Linked DNA regions of Struthio camelus. The protein of the gene in region 2 interacts with the protein of the main gene of each other region in a biochemical or structural test. Links are inferred from orthologs where the notes say so. Each region holds a gene or a part of one and is shown on either strand. Other genes may lie near its edges. The genes, in order: OTX2 and FOXA2.

What was found.
Region 1: the proteins of FOXA2 (region 2) and OTX2 form a complex in vitro, tested with the Homo sapiens proteins (2 studies listed by BioGRID). The link is inferred for Struthio camelus from reciprocal best matches to the Homo sapiens genes FOXA2 and OTX2.

What each region holds. Positions count from the first base shown.
Region 1 is NC_090946.1:78,851,500-78,866,059, reverse strand, and holds OTX2 (homeobox protein OTX2), read right to left. Parts: upstream 6,039-14,560; coding exon 5,942-6,038; intron 5,444-5,941; coding exon 5,292-5,443; intron 3,780-5,291; coding exon 3,159-3,779; downstream 1-3,158. UniProt on the Homo sapiens protein: Transcription factor probably involved in the development of the brain and the sense organs. Can bind to the bicoid/BCD target sequence (BTS): 5'-TCTAATCCC-3'.
Region 2 is NC_090944.1:146,427,803-146,442,383, reverse strand, and holds FOXA2 (hepatocyte nuclear factor 3-beta), read left to right. Parts: upstream 1-8,642; 5' UTR 8,643-9,101; coding exon 9,102-9,188; intron 9,189-10,062; coding exon 10,063-11,325; 3' UTR 11,326-12,075; downstream 12,076-14,581. UniProt on the Homo sapiens protein: Transcription factor that is involved in embryonic development, establishment of tissue-specific gene expression and regulation of gene expression in differentiated tissues.

The DNA.
Region 1 (14,560 bases), on a different chromosome or scaffold from region 2:
TCATTTTATTTAATTCAGAATTCCCTTTCCCACATTGAGGTTCAGAGGAAATGAGTTTAGCCAGGCGGGAGATCTAAAACATTAAAAAAAAAAGAAAAGAAAAAGGAGTTAAAAAACTTTTTAAATACTATTTTGCATGTGCCAGTCACCCTGGGATTTTGCCCTTTGCCCATGTGAGCGCCCATTTAAATTAAAATCAGAAACAAACAGGTAGAGGAAATATGGAAAGTGCTAAATGCGAGGCCGCGTTAAGAGAAAATCCTTAAATGAATCAGTGTTTCTGCTAAAAGAGCTTCAGTCAAAAGAGCTCATCCCCGAAAGGCATGGAGCTGCTCGGGAAGGAAAAGGAAAAGATAAGATGGGAAAAGCAAAGCAGAAAACGAGATCTTTAAAAGACTTCTTTAAAAAAATAAAATAATCAAAAGCCCACAAAACAAAGAGCTTTCCCGAGCAGGTGTAGAGCCGCATCCCGCCGGAGCGAGGAGGGGTTTTCTCCCGGCGGCTGTTTCGCTTACGCCGCTCCCCTTGGGTTACATTTCGCCGGTTTAAGGCAAAGCGGCGGAGAACCGAAACTTTACGCTTTGCTTTGCCGGAGCTCCTGCTGGCGGGGCCGCGTCTCGCCGTCCGCACCGGCACACGTCGCCGGCCCCGGCGGCGGGGGAGCGTCGGTGGCCGCGGGAGGTGCTGGGCGCTTCCCCCGTCCTTCGGGAAGGGCCCGAAAGCCTCCGCTGGGCTCTGCCCTCTGCAAACCCTGCCCCGCCGAGAGTCTCCGGCCTGAAAGGAGAGAGAAGGTAAAAACGGGAGCAAGGAGCGGCGTTGCACACTCGCCTTCGCCCGCAGCCGGATCGCGTCGCTGCACCCCTTTCTCTTGGGGGGGCCGCGCGGCAAGGCGGAGGGCAGCGCGGGCGCCGGCAGAGCGGCTCGGCCCACGTGCGCCCGCGGCCGCCGAGGGGCCGCAGCCCGCGCAGGGAGCGCGGGGCGCCGCCGGGCAGCGGCAGGAGACGCCGCGGGCGAGCGGTGCCGTCGGCGGCCCTGGGCGCTGCCGCGGGCAGGCGACAGTCACCTCCGGGGCCGCTGGCCCCTGAGCCGCCCAGGCGCAGGAAGCAGGGTGGGTGCGCGGAGGTGCAAGCTGACCTCCGTGGTTTTTTTTTTTTTTCCCCCCTGTCTCCCTCTCTCTGTTTTTTTTTTTTTTTTCCCCAGAAGTCTGTTTTTTGCTGCATTTTAAGGGGGCTAAATCCAGACCCGAGGTGCACAGCTATGTGCGAGCAGGAGGCAGGCAGAGCCACCCCGAGCAGGCACGCTTGCAAGGGGCCTGATCCCTCCCTGCGTCGCGGGGCACTGGGCGCTCGGCTCGGGAAATTAAACCGTCGCAGCCTGCCCCTGCTCCTTCCCCAGCACCTCTGCGCGGAGGCGACTTCCGCCGCAATCACTCCCAGGTGCTCCCTTCTCCTGCCGGGAAAGTTTTCGGGATGTCCCTCAAGGCGTCCAGCGACTCGCGCCTCCCGTGGGGACGCAGGTAGCAAATACCTGCCCTCGCCTCCAGACAGCCTCCGACGAAGGATGGGATTTTGGCACGAGGGCCGGGTCACGCTAGCCCAGATCTGGCTGAAATGCACGTTTTTTACTTAAAAAAAAAAAAACGAACAAAACCACACACCAAAAAAATCTCATTGCGCTTTCTTCACTGTCCACAAATCAAAACGCACCTAGGGGGAACCGGGCTAGAAAATTTGGGGAGAGCCGGGCAGCCTTTGCCTTGGCCTGCAGAACAAGCGAGCTCCTCCTGTCCCCGCTAACCTCACTTTGAACAAGAAATCTCCGCCGCAGACTGTTTTGCCCCCTCTCTATGACTCACTGGATACAATTAAAATGGAAGACAACAATCAAGTGTGCTAGAACCATTTTAATATAATTATACATATCTGCCAAATCCAGGAAAAAAGGTTTATGCATATATATCTTTTTTTCTTCAGTTAACATCTGCAAGCATAAACGACAATGATTTTCTCAGTTTAAATTCATCCAGGTCAGAGCAACTGCCCAATGTCCTGTTTTATTTTATTGTTACTGCTAGCGTGGCCAACAGTAAGTTAACTACAGAGGAGTTTAATGTCCTTGGGTGTTTTTTTCATTCTTTTCTCTTTCATTCAGAGACAGTTTGTTGTAAAAAGTTTCAGTGCAGTTCACCTCTGGCGAAAGGCGATCGCTTTTTTTTTTTTTAACATATATTGTATTTTATTTTTTTTTTAAGATGATAATAGGTACCCCAGTTGCTCTGAATTTCACTTATAATTATAACCTATTTAAATCACAGCAGAACTCCCGCTGGCGCGGTGTTCGTAGTTGCATACAATACAGGAGATCACAGTTTTGAAGTCTAGCACAGATTAAAAACCACAGATGTACCATTTATATAAGACACACACTGATTGTCTCTTAAAAACTACATATTGACTCCTTATGAACATTATTTTTTTTTTCTTTAAATAAAGTAGTGCAGCTAGGACAATCAGTCACACAACCCACACAGCCCTGAACCGAGTTCTTTCAGCGCCAACTTGAGCAAGTGGCATGAAACAGTTGAATGAGCTGGAGAGAGAGAGAGAGAAAGAGGGAGAGAGAAAAAGAGAGAGAAAGACGGAGAGCGATGCTGTCCATTCCGAATATTTTAACCAAGGGTTGGCTAACACATTGGAAACCTCTGGGTGAAGGATCTTTCCACACACACACAAAAAGAAATAAAAACCTAGACTTTTTTTTTTTTTTAAAACTGGCCCGTCGATGGAATGATCTTCCACCTCTTTCAGACAAAGAAACCCAACAATTGCCTAAAACTATAAAGAACACAGATTGGTCTGTCTGTTTTCTGCTCACTAGATGATCTGTCCGTTTAAGGCCTTCTTCCTCCGTTTCCTCTTTATTATTCCTTTTCCAGAGCGTCTGAGCAGGAGATGAATCTGAATATGATCACACCAACACTGTCTCTCTTTTTATTTTTATTATTATTATTATTTTTTTTGTTCATTCGTTTGTCCGTTTGTTCGTTGAACTGTTTTCTCTTTAATTTAACCAAGACCTGACTAAAACGGGAATGTTCAGCCCAGCGTGTTCGTTCTCGTCGCGGTTTCTCGGGGTATCACAAAGGTTCCCGCCGGCCTTCACAAAACCTGGAACTTCCACGACGACGTCTGGTCCTTATAATCCAAGCAGTCAGCATTGAAGTTTAACTTCCAGGAGGCGGTTTGGTCTTTATAATCCAAGCAATCGGTGGTTGAGTTAAAGCCCAAACTCGAGGCTCCATAGCCCTGGGTGGAGAGGGAGGCTGGAGACTGGTTGAGGTGGCTGGTAACGGCATTGGCACCCATGGGACTCAGGGTGGCCCCCGGTCCAGGGAGCTGGTGGTGCATAGGGGTCAAATAAGATCCACAGTCCATCCCTCCAAAATAGGAGGTCGAGCCAGCGTATCCTTGGCTGTAACCTGATGCCTGGGTGTAGGTCATGGGATAGGATCTCTGCATGCAGGAGGAAGAGGTGGACAGGGGGTCTGAGAGCGGGGAGATGGACGCTGGGCTCCAGATGGACACGGGGGCACTGCTGCTGGAAATGGTGGGGACCGAGGTGCTGGAGGGGGGAGTGAACTGCCCGCTGGTCCCGCTCTCCGAACTTACTTCCCGGGCTGGCGAGTTCTTCTTTTTGGCCGGCCTCACTTTATTCTGGCCCCCGTTCTGCTGCTGTTGCTGCTGCTGGCGGCATTTGGCTCGACGGTTTTTAAACCACACCTTGAGACCCAAAGAGAGGGAGGGAGAGGGAGAAGCCTTGTATTAGGGACACGGCACGAACCCAAGGGGGCAAGAGCTGGCCGAGGGGGGACCTTGGAGGGGAGCAAAAGCTCTCCCCAGCGTGCGGAGGTTTGCAGGCTACTGCAGAGAAAGGCTCCGTGGCTCCCCCTCCCTGAGATCATTAGCAGTAATAACAAGTGGAAATGGGCAAATCAAACTGCTTAATAAGGTCACTTTTGGGGGAAGGGGGGGAAATCACTCCCTATTTGCTGTTTGCCAGCCGGGGACCCCCAGGAATCACCATTTAAGGCCTATTGAAGTCAAGCCCTTAATTAGAAACAATAGAGCATCATAAAGGGAGGAAACAATTAGGGAAACAGAGGTGGTGGTTGGGGGGGGGGGTTAAAGATGTCTCATTTACTCTCTAAATAGGGTTTCTGCTCTTCACCCCCCCAGCTGGGGTCGGCCCCCCCAGTCCCTCTCAAGCTCCGTGGGCTGGGATCGGGGGCTGCCTGTGAGCAGGAAGGGATCCTTGCTCCCATGCCTGCGGTGGGGGAGCTTTTGCAGGGGAAAGTTAGGGTTTAGTGAGTGCGAAAGCCTGTGGTTGAGTAAGGGGGGGGGGGGAGTCCAGGTCCCCACCTGCTAGGTGGGGCACGGCCGCACGCGTATCGGGTGACCAGGGCCTTGGGAAACCTCGTACGGGGAGAGCCAAGGGCTTTGGAGCTGCCCTGCCCTGGCTGCAGGTGCTCGTTGTAGAAGTGTCCCCGGGATCTGTGACGGGGGAGCGCAGGTTCCCAAGAACCCAGTGAAACCCTCCCTGGATGGACGCCTGCAGGATGCTCCTGGAGGAGACACGGCCCAGCTTCAGGAGAAGCTCCCCCTCCTGCAAGACCGCCTTTCTCTCTAATCAAAGTCCCTTTGGAGAGAGAGGAAGCCCCAGTGTGAACTGGCATGAAATGGGATCCCCGTCTGGCCCAGCTCCAAGGATGTGGGATCCCTCGGTGGGATCCCCAGGGAAGGGAGAGCCTTCACTGCCTCTCCGGCGGCCCCAAACTCCTGCAAGACAGTCTGGGAAGGGCCAGGATCTGGCCCCTGGGCCAAGGCCTGTTGCAGGGCCTGGGGATGCTGGGGACACCTCCCTGAGGTGCAGAGACCGAGGGTGCCGGGAAGGGTTCAGGAGCTCAGGAGCTGGGATCCAGGTGCTTTGGAGACCTCCGCAACATACACACGTCCCTTTCCCGGAGAGGAAGGGGAGGGCAGACTCAAGCCAAGGACGGGCAGATTTCTACTGTCGCCCCTGCAACCTCTCTGCCGTCCCTCACCCGTCTACCAGCCTCCCTGGCCCCATAGGGAAGAAACTCTGGGCTTTTTATCCCTCCAGGGCTGGCCTCATCCGCTAAATCGGCATCACCACCTGCCCGCTCAGCGGCGGAGCGGCCGAGGCCTCTGCGCACCGGGACGGAGGTGGCCAGGAGGCAGGGACGTCCGAGGCGAGGACATCCTGATTCCTACCTGCACTCTGGACTCGGGCAGGTTGATTTTCAGCGCCACCTCCTCCCGCATGAAGATGTCGGGGTAGCGGGTCTTGGCAAAAAGCGCCTCCAGCACGTCGAGCTGCGCCCGGGTGAAGGTGGTACGCTCCCGCCGCTGCTTCCGAGGGGTGGCTGCGAAGAGGAGCCGGCGGCCCCGGCTGTCATTCGGGTGCCCCTGGGCCTGGCGGACAGCTTGCCCTCCCTCCAGCCCGCTCCCCCAGGCCTTTCCGCAGGGGGGCAGGTGGCTCCTAGGGTGACCTGCCCCCCATAGGGGAAGGAGCTCTCTAGGGCCTTCCCCACCCCGCATCCAGGTCCTCGGTTGCCTCCTTGCAGCCGTGCCACCTCAGATGCACCTTCCCCATCTTTCCTCCGTGACCTGGATCAGCAACATCCACGTCCAGCATGAAGCCGCCCCCTGTTTTCAACCCTCTTCCTGGCTAAAGAGTTCAGGGAGGGCGGAAAAGGGACCCTTGTCCTCAGCAGCCATCAGCCCCGGGGTTGTGGTCCCTGGGCATGTTGTGCCCCCCACTTCCAGAGGCCTGACCTCTTGCCCTGCTCGGGACATCCGTGGGGCCAGAAGAGAAAGGAGGAATTGGTGGTGGGGAAAGCAAGGAGAAAAACGTGGCTTACCGGGATAGCCGACGGAGGGATGCAACAAATCCATGCCTGAGGTTGTGAGACTCAGGCCGTTCACTGCATAAGGTGGTTGCTTAAGATAAGACATCATGCTAAAGTAGTGGTGGGGAGGAGGAGAGCGGGCCGAAAATGCGGGCGAGGGGGGCCCTGCCTGGCCGGGCGGCGAGGCGGCGGCGGTGCCGTCGGGGCCGGGGCTGCCGTCGGGGCCGGGGGTCCGCCGGGCGCCTGCGGGCGAGAGCGGGGTGGGGAGGGGGGGGGGGTTAGACGGGCTGTCGCTTGTCGCCGCTCGCCTGGCTCGAGTCCGCAGCTCCCCCGGCCAGTCCTTCAGCTCTTAAAAAGCCGGCCCGGCAGCCGGCTTTGGGAGCCAGGGAGAGACTGACTAGATAAACGGCATCTCTCCCAAAAAAGGCAAGGAGGAGAAGGGCAGCGGGGGGGTTGTAACATCCCATCCAGTAATTGCAGCCCGCTCTGCAGCCGAACAAAACCCCCCCATGCCTTCAACTGCTCGCATTGTATCGCTACCCCGGGCATTTGCATAGGATTCCCGGCCGGGCACTAGCTAATTGTCTCAAGCAAAACTTGATTGGGGCCATTCGCAGACACAAAGAACCCCTCGGCTAAATAAATAATGCAGATAACAAAGCCCAAGGGTGAGAAACAAAGAAACAATTCAAGAAACCTATCTCTCCCCTAGTCTCTTGCAAGGACTTTAATTATCCCAGGTTTGGGCAACATTCAAACCTCCTCTCCCCCCCCTCCCCTTTTTCCCCCCGACGTTGCTGCATTTCAGAGCTCAAATGCCCGCTCGGGAAGAGCCAAACTTTTCTGCTCTACCGCGATCATTCCACGTCTGCAGTAATTTCCACCGGCCATTTGCACCTAATTAGTACTGCGGGTAATTAGATTTGGAGGCAAGTAACAGATTTATTAGGCTTTCAAGAAACTCTTGATTACGCAGCTAAAGCTAAACAAACACCTCGCTGAGCGGCCCGGCTCCCCCCGCGGCCCGGCCGGGACGCCGGGTCCCCCCGCTCGGCGCCGGGGGCTCCGGCCGGGGGGGAGGCGGTGGGTCGGGCCCCACATACCCCCCCCCCCCAAACAAGGGCTCCTCCAAAGCATGGCGGACAAAGGGCCAGGGGCCAGCTCGTGGCTCTTCCAAGGGTTAAATTGTTTCCTTTCCCCTGGCAAATCATTTACTTGTTTCCCCTTTTTTCTTTTTTATTTTTTTCTTTCCCCCAAATCTCGCTCCGTTGGCAGCGACCGTCGGAAAAAAAACCAAACCACAACAAAACAAAACGAGTAGCGGGAAAAGTTGCTCCCGCGCACACCCCGTTTCGGCCAGCAAGCCCGCGGGCGGTGGGAGCCGCCGTCCCCGGCAGCGCGGAGGGCTGCGCGCAGGCGGAGGGGCCCTGCGCGTCCCCCCGGCCCGCCGCCCTCCGCCTTTCCCACCGCCGGCGTTTTTAAACGCGTTGCAAAAGTTTCCCTCCTGCCCCGCGGGGAAGCGCTTCGGCAGGCTCCGCTTTGCGAAACGCCGGCGTTAACTCACGTGCGCGCAGGCGGCGCGCATCTAGCGCGGCTCGGCCCAGGGTCGATCCCCGCTTTTAACCCCCAGTTCTTGGGGGGGGGAGAGGTTTGAAGTGGGACAGCTCCGGGCTGGTGGGAGCCGCGCTCCGCACCGGCATCGGCGCAACTCGGGCCGCGAACGCGTTCGGCCGCGCAGGCTTGCGCGGGAGAGCAACGCTGACTGCGATGCTCCCTTAAAGGACAAACAAACAAACCAACAAACAAGCAACTCCACCCTCCCCCCAAATAATATAAATAATCATAATAACAAAAAAGACCAAACGGCCTTTTAAACCTAGGGGCAGCACGCCCAGCCCGCGGCCCGCCGAGGCGCCCGCGCAGCGCGGCCGCCCGCGGAGCCGCTCTCCGCCGCTCGGCCGCGGCCGCGCAGCCCGGGGCCGCCGCGGAGCAACGGCTCCGCTCCGCAATCTGTCACCTTTCCCCCGTCTCCCCCCCCGCCACCCGGCCTCCGGCTTTCGCAAAGATCCCGGCTACCAGTTGCTCTGCCCTCGCTCAATAATAATTACCCCGTCCAAGAATTAATTATAATAAATGTTTTCTTGATAAACTAACGAGATAATCCGGGCGGCACACGCTCCCTAATTACGGGACAGCGGCCGCGGCTCTGCTGATCACTCGGGCTGATTAATGCGAGGGAACAAAACGCGGCCGGGCTGGGCGGCTGCTGCGAGGGGCAGCGCCGGCTCTGCCCTTCCCGGAGCTGCGGGGAAGCTGGGGCGTCGGGGGGGCCCCGCCGGGCTCGCCCCGCCGCGGGGCAGCGGCCAGAGGGGGGCATAAAGCGTGCGCACACGAGCAGAGATAGGAAAGTAATTTTTTTTTTTGCTTGTTTCACTAGCAAAAGCTCGATTTTCCAGCCCTGCGCCTGGCTCCACCGCATTAAGAAAAAATGAAAAATGTTTTTTTTTTTTTTTTCTCGGAGGGAGGGATGCGCTGTGCTATTTCCCAGCACGGCGGCGGAGCCCGGCGCGCCCTTGCTCAGCAGCCCGGCCCTCCGCGCGGCTCCGCGGCCGCCTGCACCTCCGCGGCCGAGCCGGCCTCCGCCGGCAGCACCTCTGCTGCTGGACCGTTTGCCCCACCGCTCCCTCCCCGCCAGACCGCGTTGTTAACTGCTTTTTATGGGAGCTGCATATTTAAAAATAATAATAATAATAATAATAATAATAATAATAATAATAATAAAGCTCAGCTTCTCGGAGGGTCCCACACAGAAACAAATCCCTGCATAGCACTAAAGAAACTTGTACACGAGGACTCGGCCGACTGCGCGGAGCGGATTTCGCCTCTGTCGATCCGGGTGGTGTTTAGAGGAGACGGGCCGGGGCGCGGAGCAGCGCGCGTTACAGCCGACTCGGTGTCTTCCGGCAGCGCCTTCCCGAAGCCGGACAGCGCGGGAGGCGGCTGCCTGGAGGGCAGCTGCAGCCCCGCGCCGAGACACGAAGCTCCAGCCCCCCGACGCCCTCCGCGTGTCTCTCCCTCCTGCTCCCTGCCCAAACCTCCGGCCGCAAACTCGGCAGCGCTCAGGGCCACCTCTGCCGAATTACTTCGCTCAAGTCTCTCTCTGCACGGGCAGCGAGCATCTTAGGTGGAAACGGGGAGGAGGCGGGAAATGTCTTGCCAGTTATTTCTAATTTCGGAAGTCCAGGTGGGGTCGGGGAGGAGGTAAAGCTCAAAGGATCAGGCCGGAAAAATTATGCCCTCAACGAAACGGCGGCGGATAAACGCGCCTGTCTGCAGAGAAGCGAACGGCCAGCTCGGCGCAAAGCAGCCCGCCCCGACCTCCGCCTGCCCACGGGAGACATCCCGGGGCCGGCAAAATAAAGCGAGGCGAGAAAATCCGTGGGAAGCGTCTCCCCGCCTCCGCAATTATCCCCTCCGCTCTCTTGCATTTTCATGAAGCCGATGCCCTCGGGGCAGAGGCGAAACCCCGGCACCGGGGCAGAGCCGCGAGGGCTCCGCGCCGGCCCCGCCGCCCGCGCAGGGCCGAGCGGCCGCGGCTGCCCCAGCCCGGCCCGTCCCGGCCCGCAGCCGCCTTGTGCCCTGCCGCCCGCCGCCGCCGAGGCGAGCGGGGCCCCCACTCCCACCCTCTTGCTAAAAATTATAATTGTAATTTTTTTAATTTTTTTTTTTTAATTTCCTGCCCGCGGAGAGAAAAGGCCCGACGGCAAATGCCCCCGACGGAAGGAAAATAGCGGGTGGATCTCACTTACCTGCGAGCCGCGCTGGGGCCGAGGGCAGGGCTGGGGGGCGCCGGGTGCAGCCTGCTCCCCCTGATCCTCGCCGAATTCAAGGGTCGGGCTGAGCTGGGAGAGAAAGCACAAAGCGGGAGGTTAGAGAGCTCGCATCGTGCACATGCCCACCGAATTGGAGGGGGGGGGAGAGAGAGAGAGAAAAAAAAAATGTTTGGAAAAGAAGAATAAATGAGGGAGGAAAGGGCGGATGGTGCAGGAGAGGGATGCAGGGATGCTCGGGGTCTGGGCTCGGTACATACAGAGCTAGCCGGTGCCGGAGCTGGTCAAGCGATTTTATTTTTAATAATAGTGGCAGGGTGCGTTGGAGCTGAGGTCTCTACCTCTCTCGGGGAGCTTTGCTGAGAAAGCGCCTCTCTGGCAACTTTTTGACGCAAACTCTCCAACCAATGGCAGGGAGAGAGTGATTGACACATCTAAGCCAGGGGGAAAATAATAAAAACACACAACAGGGGGAGGAAAAAACAGGCCGCTGCTGTACCGGGGGGACAATCAAGCGAGAAATAACAGCCACCGAAATGACACGAGAATATACATTAAAAGAACCTGCTCGATTTAAAAATATACATTATGGACCGGAGCTTATGAACTCATTGTACAATTAACGTGACGGACAGCAGAGATCGCGTTCCCGTATTGCCCGGCAAAGGAAAGGGGTGGCACAAGGCTGGGGGGCACAATAATAACAACAAAAGATATTAAAATATATAAGTAAACATTTTTTTTGGAGGGGGGGAGCCTGCCTGGAGCCCATCGGGGGAGCAGCGCGGAGCGGGGGGGAGAAGAGCCCCGCGGGGGCCGCGCGGAGCCCGAGGGGACCCGGCCCGGCCTCCGCGGCCGCGCAAGCAGCCACAGGGCGAGGGGTAGCCAGGGGAAATGAGCCATCAGCCATCCCGGGGTGTATGTATATACATACTATATATATATATATATATATATATATATATATATTTATTTATTTATTTATATAAATGTGCATGTCTGGTATACAATGCTGGGGAGGCGCGTTGCATTTGTAGTTACGGGCAGGCAAAGATTTTAAGACAAATAAAGTCAGTGCAGCAAAGGGGTAGAGGAGCGGTGACGAGGGTGTTGAAGGGGAATATTTGCCCACTTCTAGCCGCGGTCAAAACCGCGGCGAAATTGGGAAAGGGGCCGCTCGGGAGGGCGGCGGGCGCGGGACGGGCTCAATCTCAGCCCCATCTCTGCCATCAACTTTTCCCCTTCCATAGCGCGCAGCCCGTTAAACCAGCCCTTAAAACAACCCTTGAGAAAAACTAAAAGATCTCAGAGGTGGGAGGCATTTCAGCTCGGAGCGAAGGAGAGATCAGCCCCCCGCCAACCGCCTTGCACACACTTTTCCTCACTTCCGACAACAGCGGAGAAAAAAAATGAAGCGGCTCGATCGTTTTAATGTGGCAACCTATGTTAATGAAGTTATAGTAATTAATTCGCCTCTTTGTGGCTCTTTCTGAGCCCGGCGGTGTGCAATCAAATGCGGTTGTCGCTGGACTTAGCGCAATTAAGGGCTGCTTTCGGTGCAGCCCGAGCTCGTGGTTTGTAGGAGCAGGTTTCGGATGCTCGACTCCTTTTTTTTTTTTTCCCCCTTCACAGAGAGGAGGAGGAAGGAGGGGGGGGGAGAGAAGGGAACGGAGGGAGGAGAGAGGAGGGGGAATTAAACAAACAAACAAACAAACAAACAAACAAAATAACCCCTTGAACAAAAGCGAAGCAGCCTCAGCCCTCGCCGGCTCCGCGGCGGAGCTTCTCCCGCTCCGGCCGCTGCCGCGCCGCGACTCCGCGGAAAGTTTGTGCGCGGGGGCGGCCCGGGCCCGCGCTGAGCCCGTCCCTCCGCGGCGCCTCCACTGCTTTTAGCTTCTTCTTTTTTTTTTTTTTCCCAGAGCTGTGACACTTTTTTCTTTTTTTTTGTTTCCTTTTTTTTTTTTTTGAGGCTGCGGCGGTGGCTGCAGATCCCCGTCCCTTTGCAGTTCCCCCCACCCCTAACTTGCTCGGAGAGCCGTGCCTAGAAAATCCTTCCCTCTCACCTCCCCCGGAAAATCCTTCCCTCTCACCTCCCCGCATGTCGGCACGGCCCCGCCACCCCTCAGCCTCCCCTTTAGTAGAGCAACAGTAATAAATATCCCGATTCGACCCTTCCCCCCCCCCCCCACCACCCGTCCTTTGCCATCGTCTCCCGCCCCCACATATTATTTAATAACCTTAATCCACCTTGGAAGAATGAGAGAGATAATTCCTTCCCGTGTATCCTGACCAGGAGGGTATTTTCGAAATCGATTAAAAATAAAGAGGGAAAGAATATATATATATATATAAAAAGATAGAGAGAAGGGATGGGATGGAGGGAGGGGTGTTCAGGGCTGGAGGAAGCCGGGCTGCGGCAGAGGCTGAAAAATAAAATTCAGTGCCTGAGAAAGTGCCTGGGAGCCGGGAGAGCAGGTTGGGAAGCGCAGCCCCGGCAGCCGGCCGCGGCTGGAGCCCTGGCCGAGCCCGGCCGCGCTGCCTCGCCGCGGGGGCAGCGGCCGGGCGGCGGCTCCGCGCCGGTCCGCGGCCCGCCGAGGGACAGCCCAGCCTTCCCCTTTCCGCCCTCCCGCCGCACCAGTTCGGGATAATTCGCGCGGCCAATAAAACAAGTGGCGGAGATGGCCAGCGTTACTTAAATAAACAAGGGTCTCTTTAAAAATTCTCATCCACTTCAGATGTCTAAAGTAAGATTGTGATGATTTTGTCACGGTTTGGTAAATTTACCCCTTTAAGAGGCTTTCATAAATCCCAGAACACACCTTCAGCCAGATTTGAATATAGATTTAGGTTTTAAAACCCAGAAGCTGGGAACACCGCTTTATCAAAGAGAATTTCCCTTTAGCTTAGCAATGTGTTGGAATGGCTCTTGCAAAGATTGGATCGGAGAGGGGGAAAAAGGGGGAACCTTCTTTCTGGAGGAATTCTGCACAGACTTTGCAGCTGCTTCTGCCTTCAGCCTTCTGCAGCTAATGGAAAAGTTGCAAAAAATTTGCTGCAGCTGTAGGAACTTGCGGTTTTTAATTTTTTTATTTTTTTTAAACTTTCCAATCTCTTCTGTTCATTTTGGAAACAGTTTCAGAGCAGGTACAGTCCCAGAGAGCGAGACTAGCTCGGGATAAACGGGGAGTGAGTGGATATGTGTGATTTGCACTCTAAGAACTTTGTACTCAGAGAACCAAAATCTGCTTCTGGGATGAAAAGAAACTGTAACTTCTGATTCTCAGTAAGTTTCTGAACTTCCGATGCCAATTGTGTTACATATCCATTCATTTTTTTTTCTCTCTCTGCATAGATGTGTTTGTCTGTTCTCTTTCTCTCTGTTTACTTTTCTTCCTTTGGTGTAATTTTCAACTCTTCTTACTAACGCGACCGTTTCGCAAGTGTTTTTATTGCTGTGTGTATTGCCCAACAGGCTAATCGCGCTGAACTGCTGGGTTTGTATATTATGACAAAGAAAGAAATCATTTATTCAGGTTAGGCGAAAGTTAAGGAGGCAAGCGAAGCCCAGAATGAACCGATTTATTATTTGTCATCTTTGTATCTCTGCTCGGCGCCGGAAAGCGATGCATGCTACGCACTTTTAAGCTTTTCCCTCATCGGATTTGTGTCTAGTTTAAATATTCCGTATTTTCCTTGAAGTTTATCTGCAATTCAATAGCGGGAATTTTTTCCTTTCGAAAGCCCCCCCCACACACACACACAGATACACCCCCAAATCTCCCTTTTAGGGGTGCAAGTGAAGCGCCACCGGCAAAGATCATGTGTCACTAGGAGAAAGGGTAGGATTCGTCTTAAAATGCTGGAATGCTAAAAAAAAAATAGCCCCCCTCTTTCAAGTGGCTCGGAGCTGGGTGACAGAGCCATCATCTCCTTTGGGGAAGGGGGGAGTTGTTTTGTTTTGTTTTCCTTTTAAAAAAAAATTAAGGCAGCGTCTTAGCCTAGATGAAACCAACTTTCATAATTTGGGGGGGGGGAGAATGGAGAGGGGGGAAGGAGGGGGCGGCAGAGGCGTTGAGCTGCGATGCGGAATTTGCACGGAAGGACTCAGCACATCCCAGAGCCGGACAAGTCCAAAAAATGATACCCTGAGAGCAGAGAGAGAAAGTGAGGTCAGCGCTTACACCTGAGGGAAGGTCTTCCGTGGCCTGGGGGTGGGGGGCTGCGGGTCGTACCCCTTTCCTCCCCCCCCTCCAAAAAAAAGCCCTGAAATAGGGAAATAAATGAATCGCACAGATGCAAAAAGTGTGCGGGGAGGGCGGGGTGCCGGCGCTGGCCGAGGGGGTGCGTGTGTGCGTGTGCGTGTGCGTGTGCGTGTGCGTGTGCTGATGAGAGGCGCTAATACCGCCAGTTTACATAATTTTTCTCTCCAGGCCATGAAGTTACCTTGAGGAGCAGCTTTCTACAGCAATCAGATTATAGCTCCCAACCCAGATATTAAAATAACGGTTACAGTCCAGTATCTTGCATGTTGGCAAACTTGGTAGAAATGAAGGGGTCGGGGGGGAGGGGGGCAGAGAGAGAAAGAGCCAGAAAAAAAAAGGGTTTTGTAAGAAAGAAGAAAAGAAAACCGCAGAGAAGCTTTAAACTACTCTTTCGTTTGTAACCTTTTACAACCTTTATTTCCCGTATATGAAAAGCTCCTTTTATTGAGACCCAGAAAGAACTTTTTTTTCCCCTTCGGATTTTTAATTAGAGCCCATCAATTGCAGCCATATATATAAGAATCGATATAAAGTAATCC
Region 2 (14,581 bases):
TTCTACCTGCTCCATAGACAAGTTGCATCAAATGGCTAAGAGTATCTAGAGTATGTCCATATTGATGTTATCTGTTTCCTGATGTAGGAGACCTCAGAAGGATGGGAAATCTCTAAAGAGGGCAGCAGAATCATGATCCTGGGCACCTTCATAGTCCACTAGTCTAAATAAATCTATAGGAAGCCTGGGGGAAATTCAGCAGAATGTAGGATGCATGTGGCTAGACTTGTTCAGTGACCCTTATGTGGCAACCAGGTGATGACCTGGAACCAGCAGATATCATTCCAGTATTAAAAAGATTAGATACCCTTGGACTCTTGATAAGATATTAAAATTACAAAAATTTTGCATACTCCTGACTCTTCCTTTATTAGACTTGTTAAAGCCTTGGAAAATATTTTCATGAATTAAGAAGCCCCATTAAATGTTGAATCTAATTAGGAGAGACTTGGCTGTAGAGTTCTTCAAATAGTTAAGTAAATATTATACAGTGTAATTGTACCAATTCCCTGGAGGTGCCGCAGCTGACTTTTTTTTTTATTATGTAGGTAACTCAACAGATACGTGAAAAATTCTCCTCACCATAGAATGACACTTATTGAAACAGTTCCCATCTGCATCTCTGAATGATCAAACAGTATTGCTTCCTGACATGCCCAGTAGAAATTACATTACACTTCAGAAACTTTCAAAACATCTTCAGAAAGACGATCCTGAAATACTTTTATGAAACAATACTGAACACTGGCCTTGTGATTACAGCTTTGGACTGCCATGCTGGAGATCTGGTCTTTTTTCAGCTTTGCCACAAGACTACCCAGAGGACTTTGGTGAAGACACTCAGACTCTTTAGCCTATCTCTCCATTTCAGTAATGTGGATAATAATGATTCCATTATCTATTTTGCTTGTTTGGTGTGAAAGTCCTTCGGACACTCCTTGGGACACTACTAATCCAACAGAGTCACTTGACCTTACAAAGAGCTACTTCCAAGGATCCTAATGCAAAAACCTATGAATAAAAAAAATGACAGTGAATACTGCGGATGCCACATCTCACAGTGGCAATCACAGCTCCCCTCACTCTGTCCCAGCTCCACCGCTAACTCTTCCCTTTCCCAAGCTGAAACCAAACTGTTGCTTCCCCTGAGTGCAGCAAAATTCAGTGCAGCCTCTTCCTCTAGTACCTCAGTACATAGATTTATCCATAATTTTCATGCCTTATCAGGGAATGGCCTCAATAAAACCGGGCAGTAATTGCTGTCCCACTGTACAAGCATACAAGGATATCTCCTTTCCTGCCTGGCTGGCTAGTGAGTTGTCTTTTGTCTCTAACAAGATCTGCAGCAGTGTGGACTCCTTTTCCTTGTTATTACTAAAAATGCCTCCTTTCTTCAGGGCAAAGTCTGCATTTCTATCTCGCAGGACAGTCAGTTCCTCAATTAAAGAAAAAAAAGAAACTAACACATTTATTTCGAAACAGGAGTGCAATTGGGAGAGTTCATTATATTGGATTAATTACGATAATTATCAGTGGAAGGGAGATAATTACTCTGTTTGTTGCTGAGAATAAGGTAAGGGTTTCTTTTTTTTTTTTCATTACACCATTCATCCTGGTTTTGCAGCGTGAGTGGCACACTGGAAGGTAAATGCAAGCACATGGATTTTACTCTTTTCCACCCAAGCAACACCGACTTTATTGCTGCTCAGCGTCCAACTGAGTTTACTTGCTTACACTTCTGCTTTCCACCAAACCGCACCTGTGAGTCTCAGGCTCAGAAACATCCCCTCTTTCCCGACAAACGCGTCTTATTCAGTTATGGAGAAAGGCAGAAATGGCCTGCCCTAACTCTTACAGCAAATTGCTTTTGAAGTCTAGAAGCCTCCTCGCAGAAGAACTACTGGTTTGTAATGCCCCCGTCTCAGGGCTGCAGGCAGCTGGGAGGAAGGGCAGGGGCAGCACCAACAGGCTTTGCAGATCATGGGTTTAGACAGGCAACTTCAGGGGGCAACTCATTCCCTTCTGGACTGGTGTCTAGGATAGGCTGAGTGGCTCGCTGGCTAGAAGCGCCCATCCCTTCCTACCGACAAGCAAGGCAATAGGATCCCTAGCAAACACAGCTGATGTCCCACCTTGCGCTGGTGCACAAGCGCTTCTGGATGGGCCATGATCTGCACCTGCTCACAGCAGCCAAGAGCATGTGCTCTTGCTCCCTTTCTCTTTCATGCACATGAGTTTATGTGGCAAGCGCTTTGAAAGTAGTGAAGTGGATATGTCCGCTGTCCTCTTGGCTGGCAACCAGCAAGCAATGGAGATTGCCTCCAGCAGTGCCAAGTGCTTTCAATACTTTGCTCTAGTTGCTGGCCTTCTACCCCCTGAAAAGGAAGAGATGGCTCTTTGAGTCATGACTTCTAATGCAAATAAAAATGCAATTTAAAAATCAAATTTAAAATAAATATTAGTTAAATATTAAAGAGGAGAAATAATTTTTAAATAGTCTACGTATTTCTCAATAACCCAGCCAGATATGTTTAAATAAGACACCACAGAAAATTTTCGGTTTTTGTTATCTTTGGTATTTTTAAGAACGTTTCTTATAAGGCAAGCGTGCATATATATATATATATATATATATATATATATATATATATATATATTTTACTCCTTCTTTTTCCTCTCTTAAGATATATGAACTTTAATAGGTTTCCTCAGGGTAATGGTGTGGAAGGCTACCCTTGTGAAAAGTGAGAAGGTAGAAGCTGTAGGGCCTGGTCTGCCTAAGAAGCAGGGATCCCCCTTTGCTGACTTACGTGTCAGTACCCGCCTAACCACAAGCACAATTTCTAGCCACATTCAAACAAGCCACCATTCTTGAACGTCCGCCTGCATGAATGCAAATGATTGCATATCTCAAAAAGTGCATGTCTTTGTTTCACAAAGCCTATATATCAGCACAAGGATATGGTTGCTATAGACTCTTGCAGACAATGTATTCCCTGAGACGTGTATGTGAAAATACTTGGACGTGCAGACTGGGAAAAACACCCCAGTTCCTTGCAAAACCAGTTCCGCATATGATGATGAAGATTACATCAACTGGATGAAGCTGAAAATTAGACCAGCTAGGAACTTAAAAGACTGCAGGTGACCAGGTCTTTCATTATGTTTCAATATATCTTTTGACCTCTGTTTCGGAGTAGCACTTCAAATAAAACTTTTCTATCTCACTCAGCCACTGGCTAGGAGGTGCACATCTCCTAGTGATAAAAACCAATACAGAATCCTTTGCAGGTGTAAACAGGAGGGCGAGTGCCCTGGCTGCATGGTCTGACAAGTGCCTGTTAGCAGGAGAGACATCCAGGCAGGTGAAGAAATCCATGGTTGAATATTTTCAAAGTGACCTTCTATGACCTGCAAACACCTCAGTTTTCACTGACTCATGGAGATCAGAGACTCTTCCACTCTCTACGCTTAGCTCTTTTGCTTCAAATAGAATAAAATCTCATCTCTATGGGTGTGAATCCAGAGGTATTGCTCCATGTGTAATCCCAAAACCCATTTCCCATACAGCAATAATCCTAATTCAACCCTCTGAAGAGGCTCATTTTAGGTTTGGGCATCACTGGTGCCTCCTTTCAGCCAGCAAAGAGGGGTTTTGAAGATACATGAACTGTCCTCAGATTTGAGGTCAAATTCTCCCACCAGGATGAATTTCACCCCACATCCTTTAGAGTCAGGAAGGGTGAAGCCAAAGATTTCTTTGCACCATAAAGCTGCTTTCCATTTCATGCACACTCCAGAAAGTGCAGAGAGGGATGAATCACTCATGGAGCTGGAATACAACAGAAATAGAAATTAAAGTAGATACATATCTGTCTAAATCATTTTCATTATGTTTTACATAGCCAAGGTGTATTCTACAGCATATATCAACCTGAGGAGGTCAAAAGTCTACAAGAGGAAAGCTGAACACTAAAGCTCCCTGAAGTTCATGGGAAAGTCTACATTAACTTCATCTGGCTTTGCAGCCAGCAATGGCAAAGGGAGCTTCCTTTCTTTAGAGCATCATGTTTAATTTCCTTCTGAAACAATGGGGGGCTAATGCTGATGGATTTACCCAATTTCCCTGTCAGGGAACTTGCATGAAGGTGCAGAGGGCTCCCACATAGAGCATTTACATGTTATTCCAGAGAACTGTGAGGGAGAAAATCACCCACATTTTTCCCTTTTTTTTTTTCTCCAAATGATAAGGGAGGCTTTGAGACAGAGTGAGTTCAACTCTTAGTTGTTTTTCTGAAAGGAAGAACCGTGACCCTTTTTGTAAACGTTTCCCAGTAGCCAAGGAGGAAGTAGAAGCGCAGTATAAGTCTCTGGAACCATTTACAGGATGAGTATTACGGCTCTTTCACTTTCCAGGTGACTCTCTGGCACTGCATCCATCATATCCGTTGATGTGGACCTCAGCAACCCTCTATGCAAAACAGGGAAAAGAAAACAGAGATTAACAGTCAGAAGTCCCCTGGGCTGCTGAAAGAGGAGCTTGCATAAGGAGGAAAAAGGCCTCTGAAAGTTCCTGGTGCATTTGTCTTCCACCCAGCACACTTAGTTGATCCTTTCTCTGGTCCTGAGTGAGTCCACTCTGCAGAGTGTGCAGTATGAGAACCTACAGGGATCTACTTGATCCTCTCTTCAAAGCATCGGTTGCTGATGCTCTTGGGATGAATTGGATCATGACTTTTAAGCAGACCTCCATGCCGATCTGCAGGGGGTGCAGAACTCAGGCTGCGATGGCTCTTGAAATTGCCTGCTGCAACCAAGCAATGAACCACAAAATCTTGGTAGAGAGAGAAGGATCTTTAGGACAGAAAAAGTAGTTTTCTTCTGAATTTATGATTTCCATGTATAAACATCAGAAGGCAGCCCATGACCAGGTTTAGTAGTGGAGCAGGCTGCTGCTAAGCTCTGTGTGAGGGGAAGCAGGAGGGCTTCCGAGAGCCTCTCCACATCTCACACTGCACTGAAAGGTCATTCATGTTGCAGGCAACTTCTTTTGCTTATAAAGGTTTCAGGACCAAGTAAGTGATCTTTAACATGAGGAAGAATGAGAGAGATTTGGATAGTGGGGAAAGTCCATGAAGCACCTTCATGGGAGGTGCTTCATGTAATAACCCAAGAATAATAAGACCAAGAAGGAAAAGCTTGATTTAAGTGACAGGACTGGAGCAACAGCAGTGGGAACATCCACTATAGCCCAGGCGCAGCCTGAAAGTAGATTATCTTAGGCAAAAATTTGAATGAACAGTTCAGGACTCTTGTGAAAGTAATTCCCCTTTGTCACTTTGCAAAATGTCCGTGCATGGGAAGGTGACTGGAGGTAGAAAAAAATCATCTTTTGTGGCAGAAAAATTCAAAGTCCTGCTAACCAGAAGGGAAACCACACTTAATACGAAGTAGTGGTTAGTGAGAGACTTGGACTAGTAATTCTTGAGCCTGCAAAGCTTTGTATGTGCATTTGCCTCCTGTGACTGTTCCTGGTGAGGTGACAGACTTAGAGTATGTTCACATCTGTGCCTATGCAGGGTCAAGGCCTGAAGGCAGGTGAGTTTATTGGCACTAGGAAATTCTCCGTATGGCCTCTCTCCTCTTCCCATGGAATTCAATAGGAATTTCACTGTTAAATCCAGCAACGTTGAAAATACATGCTCACATCCTGCACTTTGTGTCCGCAGGGGAAAAAATGATGCTAAAACTAACCACAGGTTGCCCTAAATGACTGAAGTTAACTGCAAATGAGAAGCTGACTGGATAGGATCTTTGAACTAATGGTATTAGCAGTATCTGGAAGAAACTTTGCTAATTTTACTGAATTCTCCCTTTCTAAGTCTTTTCACTCTGCTATGGGATATTCCAAAGGAACAAAAAGCCCTGTTAAAATGCATAGGATTTGAGATAATAGTCTCTGTATCCCGACCCATCCTGAAGGTAGAGGCTTAGGCACAAGTTCACACTTACTGTTAGGCATAAAGCTAAGGTGCCTAAATCAGGAATAAAATCAGCCTGGGCTCTGTCCATAGCCAGGGAGACAAGGACAACTGGAGAGAAATGCAGAACTTAGGGGTGGAGAGGGATGTAAGAGAGACTACACAAAGTCAGATGAATCTAGCCCAGGACCTTGTTTCGGACAGGGACCCACAGCAGGTGATTAATGGATGAAAGTAAGACACAGGGCACATGCAGAGTATTCCTTCCCTGGGAAAAACTCTTCTCTCTTCTGGAGAGGAGTGGAGAAGGCATTCGCTGGGACACTGTGACTAGGAGACCTACCCTGTACGAATTCACCTATGCCCTTTTTGAACCCATTTACCCTGTTGGCCCCCAGAAAATCCTGCAGCAGCGTGCCCGGACCATGTAGTTGCGTTGTATGAAAAGAAAAACAAACAAACAAGCAGCTCCTATCCTTTGGCCACCGTTGCGTTGTCTCAGTGTGTCAGGCAGCCTCAACAGCCAGTTCGGTCTCTTCGCGCACGCGAATGATGCACAGCCCTCTGCAAGGGGCGCGGTAGGTGCCGAATTGGAAGGCTTAAAAAAAAATCATAGGAACGCTTGCACGTCTGCAGAGAAGAAGGAGGGGCTGAAGGCCACCCAGGGAGAGGCAGATAAACCCCCTTGACTAGGAAGCTGTGACAAGATTTCTCCGGCCCTCCGTAAATGAAAGGCAACAGTTGCAGGTGCCCTTCTGAAGGGCCCCAGAAGAAGGGGGTCACGGCATCTCGCCGGAGGGATTTGGGATGTGTGTCCCCCCCCCTCCCGCGAAGCCCTCCAAAATTGGGGACAGCAAGCGACAGGGGGCGCGCCGCCACCATTTTTAACCTGCAGGACACAAGGGACAGTCCGTTTCCAGCCAGAGGGACACCCGGGCAGCATCACTCCTCTCACTTTTTGGTGTAAAATACTATTTCCCCGTTGTCTCAGCGTCTTGCCAAGCGATTCCCTCGGTGGGCAGAGGCGCATCCTTGGGTTGCGTTCTCAGTCTGGAGCCAAAAAACAGCTAATCGATCCCCCCCCCCCCCGCCAAGTATGGGCAGAAAAGGGTTGTGGTGACAGGAGGCGGATCTGCCAGGTAGCTGGCCTGAATATCGCGGTAGCTATCGCGATAAGAGCATGCCCTCCCCGAGCTGATGTTTTTTTTTTCGTTTGGAAGCGGCTCCTGAAGGCGCCGGAGTCTTGGGAAAAGTCTTTTTAAAGACTTCCTCTTAGTCTGAGTTTCCCTTGGTTAAATGAAATCCTGTTCTCTGTTGGGTTTGTATTGATATTTAGAAACTATTGCTAACCTTCGCTGATTGATGCATTTTTCCGTTCGGGAGGAAAAAAAAAATATTAAAAGAAGGTCAGTGATTTATATTTTTCCATGTGTTTTGAAGACAGATATAGCTAGATACAGAAATAGAAATATGAAGCCGATTGCGTGTAGAAAAAAAAATATACAGGAGAAATCAAGGCAGTAAGGTGTATTTTAGAGTCTTTTGGGCAGGCAGATTTACACTTTGCAATGACAGCTGCAGGATGCTGCTGGAGGAGGAATCGCCCGAGGGCTGGGAGGTGTTTGGCCACCAGACGGTGGTTTTTCCTCTTTCCTCCGTTTCCTCTTTCCCAGGGAAGGATCCGCTCAGTCCCTACTGGACCATCGCATTAAATCATTCTCCACTTGGTGGACATCGCCAGGAGCAAACGTGCCCGGCAGCACAGAGGGAGGTAGCCGCTGGCGGAGCAGCGGGCTGCCGCAGGGAGCCAGGAGCCGAGCGGGTTTTGAAGCGGGCTGATTTTTTTTTGTTGTTGTTGCTGTTGTTGTTTTGCTTTGTTTTTTGGGGTTTTTGTTTTTGTTTTTGTTTTTTTTTTTTTGGTTTCCTCGCCAGTGATCATCCCTCCTTCCTTCCCGCCGGCCGCGGCTGCCTGGGGAGCCCCGGCTGTGCCGCAGCCCGGCGGCAGGAGCGGCGGGACCCGCGGCGGCGGCGCTGCCCCCGGCCGCCGGGACCCCGCACGGCCCGGGGGCTCCGCGGCGGCGCCGACCGCCCGCGCAAAGGAGGCACCCGGCCCCGCGACGGCGCTTTGCCTGCACCCTGCCGTCCCCCCACCCCGCCTCCCCTCCCTGTTTGTTTTAGTTACGAAATTGTTGTAGGTACCTGAGCCAGCAACCTTGGGCCGGGCTGCGCGGCGCGGCGGAGCCTAAACGGCGGCTGCCGGCCGCGGGCGCCTCTCCCCGCACGTCGGGCCGAGCCCGGAGATGGGGCAGAGCCCGGGCGCCGCCGGCCGGCAGGCGGCCTGAGCCGTCGGGGCGGGGAGCCCGGGCCCCGGGGGGGCCTCCTCCGAGCAGCTGCGGGGAGCAAAAGGTGCGTGGGGCTGGGGGGGGGGGAGGCTGGGCAGGCGGGGCGGGTGGGGGGGGGGATACTGGGAAGAAGCTGCCGTCGGGGCTGCCGGGGGCGGCGGGGAAGGCTGGAAATCGGCTCCCGCAGGATTCCCCCTACGGAGCGGGGAGAAGCGCGGGTGCCGGGGCGGGGAGGGGGGCGAAGAGGGGGGAGACGACCTAGGGGTCGGCCCGCTGCCCCAGCGGTGCCGCTGGGCCCCCCGGCCTCGGCGGCGGGGCGCGGAGAGGTGCTCGGGGGGCCGCGGAGGAGCCTCTCCCGCCTAGGTGTGAGCTGATTATTCAAATGGGCAGCCGAGGACCTGGGGATTGGAGGCTCGCCCGGCGGCTCCGTGCTATATCACTCGGGCACCCACGTCACTGCAGCACTTGTCCTCCTCTTCCTCCTCCTCCTCTTCTTCCTCCCTCCTCCCTCCTCCTCCTCCGGCTCCTCCATCGCCTCCGGGCGACTCTTCGCCGCGAAACGCTGAGAAAACCCACCCAAGCAGCAGCAGGGAAAAAACCCCAGCCCCAGAGCAGCTCGATCCCCCCCCCTCCCTTCCTCCCTCCCTCCTCTTCCTCCTCCTCCAGAGGCTCAGGCAGAGGGAGCGCAACAGAGGGGAGGGAGGGCTGGGGACTTTTTTTTTTTTTTTTGGGTTGCTCTCTGTCGTCGTTTGTTGTGGCTGTTAAATTTTAAACTGCCATGCACTCCACTTCCAGTATGCTGGGAGCGGTGAAAATGGAAGGCCATGAGCACACGGACTGGAGCAACTACTACGGGGAGCCCGAGGTAAGGAGAAAGCCGGCGCTGGCGGGCGTCTGTCCCGCCGGCCCCCGCCCGCCTCCCCGGCCCCTGCCCGGCCCGGCCCGGCCCGGCCCGCTCCCCTCCCGGGACACGTCCCTCCGCTGCACCCGTGTTAGCCCTGGGATAATATTAACTCGGTCATCAAATATTGACTTGAGGAAGCTCCGGATCCTCTGCCTGCCCGCAGCCGCACGCACGCCGGCCAGGGCTGTGCTCGGCGCTGGGCAGCGGGCGCCGGCGGGGGGGGGGGGGGGGGGGGGGGGGCTGGGGAAGGTAGGGGTAGGAGGGAAAACATCGTGGTGCAAAGGTTGGCGGGCGGGGGGGGGTATTTTGGGAGGGTGTGTCGTGAGCGTCCCCCCCCCCCTCCCCGGAGAGGCGAGCAGGGCGCGGGTGCGTCTCGGGGAGGCAAAAGTTAGCGCGTTCAGGGCTGCATGTCGCTTTTTGCTCTTCCTCCCTTCCCTCCTCTCCCCGCCGGGTATTTTTTGTCGCTTCGGGCAGGGATATCCCTTCCTTTTCCTTCCAACTCCGAGGCTCGTTTCCAGGGACAGGTCTATCGATCTTGTTGCAATCTCTTTCTTTTTTTTTGTTTTTGTTTTTGTGTGCGTGTTTGTTTTTTTTTTTTTTAATTTTTTTCATTAACGAGCGTTTCAACACGCAGGAGCTTTAACCCTTCCCACCTCGCCGGGCAAGGTGCTCCGGGGCTGCAAAAGCTCGTGTGCAAGCGGCGATCTGGGTTGGGGCGGGGGTCTCCCCGTACCGTTTCTGTGCTTGGGGGGGCTGCCATCGCCCCTGGCAGGGTTACAAGTCTACCTGTTCCCCATCCCCCCCAAATCTTCCTCTCTCTCATTTGCCCTTGTAGAGCTACTCCTCGGTGAGCAACATGAACGCGGGGCTGGGCATGAACAGCATGAACACGTACATGACCATGTCGGCCATGAGCACCACGGCCAACATGACGGCTGCCACCTCCATGAACATGTCCTACGCCAACACGGGCATGAGCCCCTCGCTCACTGGCATGTCCCCGGGCACGGGCGCCATGCCTGGCATGGGCTCGGCCGGTGTGGCAGGAATGGGCACCCACCTGAGCCCCAGCATGAGCCCCATGGGGGGCCAAGCCGGCTCCATGAACGCCCTGGCCCCTTACACCAACATGAACTCTATGAGCCCCATCTACGGGCAGTCCAACCTTAACCGCTCTCGGGACCCGAAGACCTACCGGCGGAGCTACACGCATGCCAAGCCGCCCTACTCCTACATCTCCCTCATCACCATGGCCATCCAGCAGTCACCCAACAAAATGCTAACGCTGAGCGAGATCTACCAGTGGATCATGGACCTCTTCCCCTTCTACCGTCAGAACCAGCAACGCTGGCAGAACAGCATCCGCCACTCGCTCTCCTTCAATGACTGCTTCCTCAAGGTGCCCCGCTCCCCAGATAAGCCAGGTAAAGGCTCCTTCTGGACACTGCACCCTGACTCAGGCAACATGTTTGAGAACGGCTGCTACCTGCGCCGCCAGAAGCGCTTCAAGTGTGAGAAGCAGCTGGCCGCCAAGGACAGCGGTGGGGCAAGTGGCGGAGCAGGCGGCGGGGGCAAGAAGGGGCCCGGGCAGCCACCCAGCCAGCCGTTGGGGGAAGGCAGCTCCTCAGGCGGCTCTGAGGGCTCAGCTGGTGCTGAGTCCCCTGCCAGCAGCTCGCCGTGCCAGGACCACAAGCGTGCCCTGGCTGACTTGAAGGGCACGACAGGGCTGAGCCCCGGGGAGCCAGCAGCCTCTCCAGGGCAGCACCTCCTGGCCCCCCAACACGCTGGCCTGCCCCATGATGCCCATCTCAAGCCTGAGCACCACTACGCCTTCAACCACCCCTTTTCCATCAACAACCTGATGTCCTCCTCTGAGCAGCAGCATCACCACCCTCACCACCACCACCACCACCACCACAAAATGGACCTCAAGGCCTACGAGCAGGTGATGCACTACTCGGGCTACGCCTCACCCATGCCTGGCAGCCTGGCCATGGGACCTGTAACGAACAAAAATGGCTTAGAGTCCTCCCCTTTAGCCGGAGAGACTTCTTATTACCAAGGTGTGTATTCCCGGCCCATCATGAACTCCTCCTAAAGGGGCAAGGGAAAAACCTCCCCTCACAAGGGGAGAAAAACCACCCCACCCCAGCCCCTGCGCAGTCCCCTAGCAGAGGGATGGACTATGAACGCTGTTGAGCACGGTGCATATACATATATATCTATCTATTTTTTTTTGGTTGGCTCCAGATGTTTGCATCTGTTTGGGAAACAACTGATGTGTGTCATGCAAGCATCTCGACCCACGCCAAAGGCAGGCGTGTTGGTCCCCGCCGGCCAAAAGCCACCCATGTCCCGGGGGACCGTGATTCCCTTGGTTTACTTTGTGGGGTGGTTTGTTTTGGTGGGGAGGGGTGGGTTGGGGGTGAGGGGACGGGGAGAGTTTTTTTTTGTTGGGGTTATTTTTTTTTTCGTTGTTGTCGTTGCAGGGAGGTATAAATATATCTATTTTTTTGTGTGAAAGTGACGGGGAAAAAAAAACAAACAAAACGAAACCCTACTTCAGTGTGAAACCTACGCTAGTTTTGAATCCGAGGACCAAAAGTCTTGTAATGTTGTAAAAAGGAGGAAAAAGAGGGGGGTAAAAAAGAGAAAAAACTATGAAAAATTAAAAAAAAAAAGCAAGATAGATTGTTGTAATTGAAGCAAACGCTTGATGTTACCGGGAGAGTAAACTACTTGGATCTGATTAATTTATCGTTTCTGTATGCTTTATTTATGGCTTATAAATGTGTATTCTGGTAGCGAGCAGCCAGATTTTCACAGAACTATATTAAAGTGTTATTGGCGGTTTTTTTTTTCCCCCCCCCTTGCATCTCTTTTCCGTCGGGACTCTCCTCCTTTTTTCCCCGCCGAGCCGTCGGGCCGGGCTGGGCGGCCGGGCGCGCCCCGAGCCCCAGCGCCCCGCGGCCGCGCAGGGCTGCGCGCCGAGCGGGGTCACCGGCCGCCAAAGCGCCGGCTGCATCGCGCCAGCGGCGCGGCCCTTGCGCCTCGGCTCCGGCCGCTCGCAGAGGCTCAGGCCCGGTGTCCGAGCCGCCTCCGCGCTGCGTGACTTCAGCGAGCGCACGGTCAGGGAAGGGGCAGCCCGAGCGGTGCCCCCCGCGCCGAGCCCCGCGCATCTGTCCCGGCGAGGGAAAAAGTGGCCTAGGAAGCCGCTTCCCCCCACCTTCCCCCCCCCCCAAAAAAAAAAAAACCCGGACGTGAGGGGGAGCCGCAGGCCGGCTGGGGCCCGCCTGGCCGGCCGGGTCCGCCGCTCTCCGCCGGCTCCGACGGGGGAAGCGGCGGCGGCGGGTGGCGGGGCGCTGCCGCGGCCGCGCTTCCCTGCGCCCCGGGGCGCGGGCGAGCGAGCCCCCGCCGGGCGCCGCGGCTCGCTTTCCCTGGGCAGAGCGGGTGCCCTGCGCGGCAGCGTGGGAAAAACAAGCCCGGTGCCCCCGCTGCCCTGCGCAGCCCGGGGTTTGCCCTGCTTGCAGCTCCTCGCCCGCGCAGTCGCCTGGATTTTTCAGCGGGTAATTTTATTTAGGAGGAAAGGCGGGGGGATGGGGGGTGGGGCGGGTGTCGGAAATACAAATGTATCGTTGCCCTTTCCTCCGCAGAAATTGGGGAAGCCGGGGAGAGGACAGGCTGGCCCCGCTCCGGGGGCCCCGCTCCGGCTCCGCGGCCCCGTCCGCCGCCGCGGCTGGTGCGCGTTCTGCCCCTCGGCCGCTGCACACTCTCCCTCCGAGGCACCCCAGGGGCTACCTCTGCTTTTGCAAAGGTAGGGAGAGCCGGGGGTGGGTGACAAATCGGCAGCAGCGGGCTGCGGGGGGAGGCTTTTTTCCTTTAAACATCTCTCGGCTGGTCTGAAGCCGGCGCACGCTCCGGCCTTGGAAGCAAAACGTTTCTTCTGCCGAATCAACACCCCTCAGGCCAGCCCGGTGGGTTTTATTACTATTTATTTTTTTTCCCCCTCCCTGCCATACATATTCTGCCCGTTTTCCCAACCACTTGTTGTTGTTCCCACGCGTTTAAGGGAGTAATAGATGTTGCTTTCCGAAATAACATTCAAATCCTTCTTAAAATTCCGCATTGTTCGCGGAAAGAGAAAAGGGAAGAAGGGAGGGGGGAGGAGGAGAGGGAGAAAAACTTCCAAAAACAAAACAAGGATCCAGCCAGAAATCTGTCCGTCTCTATACTGCAAGGACACACACGTTGTGAACCAAGGCATAAAATGTGTTTCATTAACACATAAAAGGCTCCTGCAGGGAAGGAGAATAGGCGCACGGAATGACACTGATTTGGAAACAATGCGCCGCGCCTGTGATGGTCTAACCTGTTATGTTCTGTATCACACGGCCATTGTTAAATGGTAGTTTTAAACTACTTAAGCGTCTTCCACTCCGCTGATCCCAGCAGATCAGATATAGCTCTGTGCGAATACATAAAAAGGGTGTCATTTGGACGCCGGCTCGAGAAGCAGATTTTTTTTTTAACATTCCCCCCCGCTTTTTTTTCTTTTTTTTTTCTTCCTGTGGCCTGGTTCACGCTGAAATCCAGGACTGGGGGACTTGAGGGAGAGGGAAAGGGGGGGGGGAAAAGAAGACCACACTACACATTTCTTTTTCTTTATACCCCCTTCCCATTCTCGTTCCTTTGCCCCCCCGCCACAACCCACCCTCGCCCGCCCCCAGCCTTACTACAAGTGCATTCTGCTCCTGCCGGTTTAAGCAACCGTGATCTGTGAATAAACAAAGTCAGTAAACAAAAAAAGGGGGAAAATCTAGATCCAAATTCCAGGAGGGTAAACTTTCAACACCACGTCATACTTCAGCAAATTTACACAGATATTATATTGCGTCCCTTTCCTTCCCCCCCTCTCCTTTTGAGCCATTGTGCTTAACTGAATTTTATAAAGCTGATCGATATCTTGGTAAAATATTCATTTTTAAACTAGCGGGCAGTGAAATCTTTGCTTTGTGCTAAAGTCAACAGTAGCACAGTTTCAGCTCAAATAAATGCAGGGATGCTTCCCGTTCCTGCAGTGCTCGGCTCTTTCCAAGGCTGGCTCGTCTTCCAGCGAGCGGCACGGGGCAGCAGGTAGGTGACATCCATCACTCTTTCTTGTTCTTGTTCTTATTATTTTATTCATTCATTTATTTATTTATTTTTTTAGATTCCAACCTTCGGCTTCTCTTTAATTCCTCCTTCCTCCTCCCGAGCTCAAATTAAAGGCACTGGGGCGAGCAGAGAGACCAAACTCACATTGCCGGGGACTTGGCTGGGGTGGGGTGGAGGGGGGACAGGGGAACAGGTTTGCT